Macaca mulatta: one gene and its partner. The protein of the gene in region 1 interacts with the protein of each later gene in a pairwise test. Links are inferred from orthologs where the notes say so. Each region holds a gene or a part of one and is shown in the gene's direction. Other genes may lie near its edges.

Region 1 (4,685 bases):
TTAGTCGGCCGCAGAACTCCTTGAAGAGAGGTCCTCCTTGCATTCCCAGGGAAACGACCTAGGCCCCTCCTCCTCAGAGTGCCATTCATGAATGAGGCATCAGCATCACCTGGGCTACTTAGAAACACAGAACCTCAAACTTAAAGAGTCAGAACCTGCCTTTGAATAGGCTCTCTAGGGGATTCATGCAAATGAATGCCTGGAAACCCTGGCCTAGGGAAGACTCTCACTGGGAAGCAGGGCTTTAAAAGGAGGGGCGAGGAGTGACACACTGAACAGCTGCTGGGAGGATCAACCCCACCCCTCTCTCAACTTAGATGGGGAAACTGAGGCCCTGGAAACCACAGAGGCTCACACCAGAGAGTTAGCAAAACACACTTCCCTGCCTGGGCTCTGGAGGCTGACTTCCCAGCTGCTAGCTTATCTTCTAGCTGTGTGCCCTTATGCAAGTTATTCTGCCTCTCTCTGCCTCAACTTCCCCATCTGTAAGAGCAACCTCCTAGATCTGCATATTTGATTATTGAACGACCAGGACAGGTAAGAGTGTACACAGTGCAGTGCCTGGCACACAGTGAGGCCCTGTATGTAGCTCTTGTTATTAGCGCTGCCCAAAGCCACATTCGCAGAAGACAGTCCAGCATCTAAAGTGCTTGCTTGAAGCATGGCCGGAAGGCAAGCAGATGGTGGGGTAGGCAGTGATGTCAATGAGCAAAAGCCTGCATCCATCCATCAGTACATTCACTCCTCCTCGAACAACTATGCGTGTTTGTCAAGTAAGGTCCTGACCGTTCAGCAGTGGGGGAGAGAGCTGGGGTGGTCAGTGGGCAGAGGCCGCTGAGGAATACGGGTACCTGGGCATGGACTCCAGCGCTGCAGTCCACAGACCCCGGGTCTCCGGCCAGGGGAAAATGAGCTCTTAGTGACGGGCCTTTCTCTGGCCTGGTATCAGGGGCCTGGGCCAGAGAGCCAGGGCTGTGTGCTGCCTTCCCATGGCTCTCATGCTGGGCACCAGTACGCATCATGCTTCAGCAAGGATCCTAGGGCATCTGCAGCCCATACCCTGGGTGACAGCTGGCCTGGATGCAGCACAGGTTGAGCTCTTGGGGCATACGCCTTCTTCCCACCTCGTCCCCACGCTGTATGCTTCCAGGGCCTGTGGCCGCCTGTACCTGATCGCCCGCCTTGGGTTCTCCACGGAGCCTGCCTCTGAGTTATTTCCCGTGAGCCCCCAGCACCTGCCTCCCATCTGCAGCGGGTTCCGCACTGTCCACCACCCATGACATTCGACTCCCCACGAGGCACTTCGCCTGGGCGTGCAGTACCTGTTTTGCTTCCACCCCATTCCCAGCAGCGGGTTCCGCACCTGGGATCACACGTGAGATTCCCCCCACCCCACAACCGCATGCCTGGGCTTTACGTCTGCAACTGCCGCCCCATCCCTGCATCCCGCTCCGCACTTCCCGCGCATAAGGTTTGGCCAGGCCCTCCCAGTTGAAGCACCTGTTGTCCAAGACAGAGCCGCTGTGTCTCCGGTGCTCTGGGTGCAGGCCCGAGTAGGGATGGGAGGAGGTGCTCTTATTCCACTCCCTGTCCGGGACAGGGGCGGCTTTTCCTAGGGCACTCTTGCCTCAGTAGAGAGGGCCCGGCTACACCCACGTGCGGGAAGTGCGGGGCGGGATGCAGGGGTGGGGAGGCAGGGAGGAGGGCCCAGTGCGCGGTTGGGAGGTTGGGAGGGAGGGGAAGCTCAGCTCACGTGGAGTTGCTGTGCCGGCTCCAGGGAAAGCCCCCGAGCCTCCCGGTTCCGACGGTGTGCAGCCACTGAGAATTCATTAGCTTCGTGGATCCCTGATCTTTTCCCTTTTCTAACCTTTGCTCAGCCGCATTCTCACAAACTGCAAGCACGCGCCCCGCTGGGTAGCAGCAACCCGAGAACGCCCCCTCCCCCCGCCCCCGCAAGACGCCGGTACCTGCTTGAGAGGGTGAGGGTCCCGGGACCCCTGCGAGGAGGAGGGTCGCTGGGTTCCAGGATGCCAAGCAGGAAAGATCACCTCGTTGCTTCTTCCACCAGCCTCTCCGCAGAACATAGCTAAAGTTGAACTTAGCATTCCAAGGGTCTGGAAACATCTTCGTGGGACCCATCGAGAGGTTGCTTAAAGACTGGCACCCGCTCACGTGGCCAGGTGGGAAAAGGGCGGGCCAGAAGTGAAAGTCCGGCCGGGGCGCCACACCTAGGCCGTGGATTCCGAGAGGCTGCAGGCTGGCGGCCCGGGAGGCGCGGCAGGGGCGGAGTCGCCGGGGGCAGGCTTCGCGCACTTCCCGGGCCGGGTCAGCCTGGATGGACGAACCCGAGCCATGGCCGGCGCCGTGGCGGAGTCGGGGCGGGAGCTGCCGGCCTTCGCGGGGTCCCGGGACACGAGCGCACCGCGGCTAGCCTACGGCTACGGCTACGGCCCAGGCAGCCTGCGCGAGCTGCGGGCGCGCGAGTTCGGCCGCCTGGCAGGTGAGGCGGGAGGGAGGGCAGGCGTGGGGACACGAGGTTTCTGAAACCGACGTGGACGGCTCTTTTGCTGCTAGTGAGAGCGGCGCTACCTAATTTGTCAAGTAAGGTCCTGGCCATTCAGCAGTGAGGGAGGGAGCTGGGGTGGTCAGTGCGCAGAGGCCACTGGGGCATTTTGAATAAATTGGGGCGCATTTTGAATCAAAACTCCAGGAGCGACGTGTCCACGCGTCCGCTTCGTAGATATGGCTCCCTGAGGTCCCACCTGCAGCCCCAAGGCTTCTTGCTACTCTTACTCTTCAGACTTTCCAGTGGGCAGGACTGACCCAGCCCTCTTCCCCTTTTCCCGCCCTCCGCGAGAGGGCTTAGGATGGTCCTTGCCCTCTCTTGTGGGAGACCCCTCACTCTAAAGGGCCTGCTGGGGCCGGGGTTGCAAAAGACAGCATGTCCAGCGGCCGTGACCCTTCGGATGTCCGCCCGGGGTAGGAGCGGTGCGTGGGCCGCCAGCGCCCGGGCTGGGACAGCACCCCTGCCGGCGCGCCAGGTTGGCACCCAGAGGCCAAGGCCTTCTGGTAGGGGCCTCCCAAGGCTGCACTCTGCAGACTCCTCTGGGTTAGCCCGTATTCAGCTTTCATTTTCGAAACCTCATTTTCCTCACTCTTGCAGCGTCAGAACAATCCCTCTGAGCTCCAGTTGGCTGGAGGACTAGAAGAATTAGCAAACAGTGCGATTTCACCTTTAAGAACAGGGAGCGCCTGTGAATTAGATAAGAAGACCAAGATCACATCCTGCCTTTCCTCAGAGCGGAACAGGCTGATGAAATTGCAAATCAAGCTCCATCTGGCCTTGGCCCACCCGGCCCTCAGCTGCCCGGGCCCAAGTTAGTGACTCATCCCTGTGACAGGGACTTTGGGTGCAGGGCTTCATCAAGCCCCAGAGCCGCCTACTGGACGGTCAGGGAGGGTCTGCAGGTGAAGTGGGCACCTCGTGGCACAGGGCACCGGGGTTTGAGTGCATCTGCTCTGTCGCAATGAACAACTGGTAACTACTCCCCTTTTCCGGGCAGAACAGCAACCATGACTTAGGTTTCACTACTTGGGTAGCTGATTTCAGCGCTCCGGGTCACTTCCTAGTGCTGTGGAGGGTAACTGTGTTTTCCCTTTGGGGACTGTGAGAACTGTGGCCTCCTCCTGTGTGTCTCCTCTGGCTTCCTAAGTAGGGAGAGTCAGGAGGGAGACAGGGGTGCCTTCTGCCAGCCTCTGTCTATTCACTCCTCATCCTTCCCTGTCCCAGGGTCACCTGCTGGAGACAGCTCCTCACCCTTCTTTTGTATTCTGTCTCTCTCATCTGTTAATTATGGAAATTTCCTACCACTCAGAAATAGACAGAGACTATGAATGCCCACAGGTGCTGGGGAGGGAGGCTCTCCATTCTTTGAAGCAGCTCTTAAAGGCTACCTGAGTAATTATGTCAGCACCACACCTCCTTAATCCCCTAAATCTCCTCCAGCTGTGATCTCTCACGCCTACTATTGGCCAACCTCTCCCCTCAATGCTACCCTGGGAAAGTAGAGCTATATTCTTGTCCCCTCCTGGTTTCACTCCTGTTCCTCAAAGAACAGTACATTCCCCCTCAAATGCAAAATTGGGATGTGTCAGCCAGACTGGCCCTCAGAACTCCTTTACCGCTTACTGTATTTCTGGTAGTGTTGTGGGCATCTTTTATTTAATGCAAGTTCCCCGTGTTTCCTCTACATTATGGTTAAAGTGGACATTTGTGCACTAACCTGATGCCCCTCCCACTGCTGGGAGTCTTGGAACATGTCCACTTGTTTTTCTCCTAGAAACAAGCCAGAGAGAGGGCAGGAAAAACCAACCAAAATAATATAATCTCTTCCTCGCTCGCTCCTCTCCCCTCATGAAGTTTTTCTGCCAGTTTGAGAATTCTCTGGTTAAGTAGTAGCTCAGAATAATTAAATGCTTAAGCTTTAAGGGCTGAAATGTGTTACCTAGTGATTTGGATGGGAACTTCCTTGCCTTTGTGAAGGGAGCATATTGAATACACAGATGTGTGTCAAGGGTCTCTGGAAGCCTTCGTGCTGAATGATGACTACTCATCATGCTGGAATGAGAACTGGACAAGGATGACCTAGAGCTGACTCTGGAATTCTCTTTCCTGAAGAAGATCT
Region 2 (4,178 bases), on another chromosome or scaffold:
AGAGGAAACCCTGATAAACCCATCAGATCTCATGAGAATTATTCATTATCACAAGAATAGCATGGGAAAGACCAGTTTCAATTAGTCTTTTCATGATTCAATTACTTCCCCCTACGTCCCTCACAACACGTGGGAATTCTGGGAGATACAGTTCAGGTTGAGATTTGGGTAGGGACACAGCCAAACCGTATCAGTCACACAGCAAAAAAATCACTCAATCACTCGGTGCAATTTGAACCTCAATGATCTGTCTTTAAAGCTTGTGCTCTTGATACTATGCTGCTTCTCTGCTATGAGTGTGGTTCCAGTTCCTGCACTCTTTGAGAAAACCTACCCTGGGTCAATGGCACGTGCATCTTGGTGGGTACTACAGGATGGACAGGAGAGAAACAAAGCTGACCTGCCCACAGCAACCTAGGCAGTAAAATTCTACATTGAGGGGTTGTCTGAGCTCACTCATAAGAATCCTAAGACTTTCTGGTTGGAAATCTTCAGCCCCCTGAGTCCGATATTCTTTAACTACAAGCAATAATATGATTTTATTTAAGGCAAAAAGTAATCCTTTGGGCATCACTGTGCCAGATTTTGCATTACACCACTATGTCCGTGTAACGGGGAAAAAATGGGTGGTAATGTGGTAAAGTCTCAATAATTGGAGGCCGTGCAGAATAAAATGTCAATGGAAGGAGGCTTTTTGAGTTCCTCAACCAAGGGCAGGTGGGTGGCAGGCAGCATGGGGTGGGCTTCCAGCAATGATGGAGTGTCCCTTCAGAGGATTGGCCTCTTGTAAGGGACAAGAAAAGAGTCACACTATTTTCTTTCTCTTTTTTCTCCAGGGCTCTTTCCGGGAGGCATGGTAAGTCGCATAAGAATGTCCCCTGGCACTGGTGGCTGCACTGGGGCTTTAGTTAATTCTGCAGCAGCTGGGAAGAACAGGCCCTCAGCTTGCCACCTGGATATATGTCTGCACCAGCCTGGCTGACATGGCCAGTTGGGTTGGGAGGGACAGCTTACTGGTGGGAAGAAGACTACCTACACCTGCGCAGTCATCTTGAAATTTATCAGGCCATTGACCTTGCCATTTATGAAGCACTTTTGCAGCTATTGTTGTTCACAGTAAACATATGAAGCCACGATTATACCCCCTGAGACCCCACAGCCCAAGGGTGAGGGAGGAGATTATGATCTTGGTTTATCCAGCACTTAACTCCAAGTTGTTTATTCTTTCCAGTACACTACTTGCAAGTGCTTATTTAGTGAATGATAGGTGTGCAGATGGATAAACCAATATAATAATCATAAAGAGAACCAAAAGTGTCCTCCGAAAAAAAATGTTTTGAGCATTTACTATGTCCTAGGAAGTATGCTAAAGTATTTCTAGATATTAAGTCATCTAATGCTTATAACATCCCACTGAAATATTTACTGTAATTATCCTCATTTTAGAGATGAGAGACCTGGAGCCCAGAAAGATTCATTAGCTTGCCCGAGGCTTCTGGATGGGTCCTGGGCATTTTCAGGGCAGGTTTGCACTAATTATCTCATGCAAATAAAGGAAGACATGCACGAACACAGGGACTGTCCCCTCTCACCACTCTGTCCTTCTAGAGACTGTCTTCTCTTCCTTCCCTCATCGCAGCTCCTAACATAGAGGCTGCAGCAAGGAGAATCCCTGCAGGGAACATGGCTTTGCTATTTTCTATGATCCTGATATTTACTGTGGGTAATATTTTGAAATATTTCAACCATGCTAAAAATTATTCCCTTCAGGAGACCATGTCGGAGTTTACAGAGCACGCGCATGCTTGTTCTCACCCTTCATCCTCATGACAAACCTAAGGGAGGGTTATTTTTAAAATAACATTCTATAGAAGAGGAAACTAAGGCACAAAGAGTTGAAGTGGCCTAGATCACTTAAGAGGAAGAGCTCATACCCCATCCTGGAGCTCCCTGGCTCCCAGCCCTCTTCTCTGTGCCCTCTGCCAGCTTGTTTGTCATGGGTCTCCTGTTTTTGAAAATTGGGGGGTGAAATGATTTAATATTTGGATAACATTCCCCCTCTACTGAGGTTCAGAAACACCTGAACAATAGCTAAATCAGGATATAATGGAATACAGTGAAGGGAAATGACTAATCCGGGGTCACACTGCCTAAGAGAACCCTGAGTCTGCCCCAACCCAATAATGTACATGTGCATGGACACAGACACAGGCTCCCAGGGTGAGAATCCCCCCAAATCTTAGTCCCAAATCACATTCCAGAGTTCCCAGCAGTCTGTACCCCAGAGGCTTCCCATCAGTCATTGACCTTGTGACCTTGAGAGGCCTGTGGCTCTGGGGCCCGAGGTGGGCTTCCCTGCCAGGAACCGGCTCTTGGGCTCCATGTTGTGTTTCCCTGTTTTTCAGAACGTGATGCCTTTGACACCTTGTTCGACCACGCCCCAGACAAGCTGAATGTGGTGAAAAAGGTGGGAAAGGGGTGTCTAGGACAGAGAGAGGGAAGCGAGGTGCAGCAGGACATTGGGAAAACCCATCCCTGCAGCTCGGGAGCTTCCTGCTGGAACTGATGGCATCACCTAATCTCTGCACACACACGGCTTTCCCCCTTGTCATCCATGTACCTGTCCGTTCCTTACTGAATGTTGCACCCGGGCTTTTTCCTCTCCATCAGCATGAGCAGCCTGTCTTCCCACCCAGGCTAACCCCAGCAATCCCAGTCTTCCCCGCTCCTCACAGAATTCCCTGTCTCCCTGGCCTAGGCACGTGTGCTGAAGAAAGGACAGGATGGAGAGAGCCAGTGGAATCTTTTTATCTCAGTTCCCCACTCAGACACTCCACCTGTCATTCTGCCTCTTGGGACCTCCTTGTTCCTTACACACCCTGAGTTGTATGGGACTGCAAGACCTAGAGCCTGTGGCCCTCCCTGTGCACTCAAGGGCCTTTGCAGAGAGACCTTCTGGGCCCGGGGCTCTTGGCTGGGCCTGATCCCGTGCTTTCACCCTCACCCTCGCCCTCGCCCTCACCCTCACCCTCATGGGAGTCATGGGGCAGCCGCGGGCTCCTGTACTAGTGCAAATCCCCAGCTCTGGGCCTGCTTTGCTTCTCTTTTAGACACTCATCACTTTCGTGAACAAGCACCTGAATAAACTGAACCTGGAGGTCACAGAACTGGAAACCCAGGTGGGTGACAGACCCTAGCACAGGTGGAGGCAGGGCCCTGCCCTACAGCCCCTGTTCCAAGTGGTCCACCACACATGGCCAGGAGGGCTTTCCCAGCTGAGGGGAATGAGGGCATGGGGATCTGTCCTACTCTGAGGGGTGGACTGAATCTCTGCGGATTTTTTTCCAAATTTTTATGGTGAAAAGTTACAAGAATGAATACTCATATACCCTTCACCTGGATGCACCGATTATTAGTATCTGGCCACACCTTTCTCTGCACCCCTAAATGCTTGAGCATACGTCTCTCAAGAACAAGCACATTCTCTTAGATAGCCACAATACGGTTATCAAAGACAGGCCATTTTAACATAATACATTAATCTATTTAGATTGAATCTTATGAAATTGCTGACATTCGACTTTTTTTTGTTTTTTGTTTTGTTTTGTTTTGTTTTTTGAGATAGAGTTTTACTCTTGTTGCCTAGGCTAGAGTGCAGTGGCAAGATCTTGGCTCACTGCAACCTCTGCCTCCCAGGTTCAAGCGATTCTCCTGCCTCAGCCTCCCAAGTAGCTGGGATTACAGGCATGTGCCACCATGCCCGGCTAATTTTTTGTATTCAGTAGAGACGAGATTTCACCGTGTTGGTCAGGCTGGTCTTGAACTCCTGACCTCAGGTGATCCACCCACCTTGGCCTCCCCAAGTGCCGGGATTATCGGCATGAGCCATCACGCCCAGCCGACTGTTTTTAACCTACTAAAATGGCAACGTCATGTGGTTGGAAAAAACACTTCAGATTTTGCCGCTTGTCCAGTTTGCTCACATGCTGCATTTACTTGTCATGTCTCTTTAGTGTCTTTTTAACATAGAACAACTCCTTGGCCTTTCTTGGCGTGGCATTGACACTTTTTGAAGCGTTCAGGCCAGCTGGTTTATAGACTGTCTTTTCCCTGCGTATTAGATTCAGGTCATCATTTTCATCAACAGCACTCCCCATGTAAGGCTTTGTTCTTCCTGC

The links.
Region 2: the proteins of MOCOS (region 1) and PARVA interact in binary tests that used the Homo sapiens proteins (3 or more experiments, as listed by UniProt). The two-hybrid records come from large-scale screens. The link is inferred for Macaca mulatta from reciprocal best matches to the Homo sapiens genes MOCOS and PARVA.

The regions. Positions count from the first base shown.
Region 1 is NC_133423.1:56,324,213-56,328,897, reverse strand, and holds the start of MOCOS (molybdenum cofactor sulfurase), read left to right. Parts: upstream 1-1,709; 5' UTR 1,710-2,352; coding exon 2,353-2,500; intron 2,501-4,685. UniProt on the Homo sapiens protein: Sulfurates the molybdenum cofactor. Sulfation of molybdenum is essential for xanthine dehydrogenase (XDH) and aldehyde oxidase (ADO) enzymes in which molybdenum cofactor is liganded by 1 oxygen and 1 sulfur atom in active form.
Region 2 is NC_133419.1:52,943,540-52,947,717, reverse strand, and holds part of PARVA (alpha-parvin), read left to right. Parts: intron 1-836; coding exon 837-856; intron 857-2,405; coding exon 2,406-2,467; intron 2,468-3,110; coding exon 3,111-3,179; intron 3,180-4,178. UniProt on the Homo sapiens protein: Plays a role in sarcomere organization and in smooth muscle cell contraction. Required for normal development of the embryonic cardiovascular system, and for normal septation of the heart outflow tract.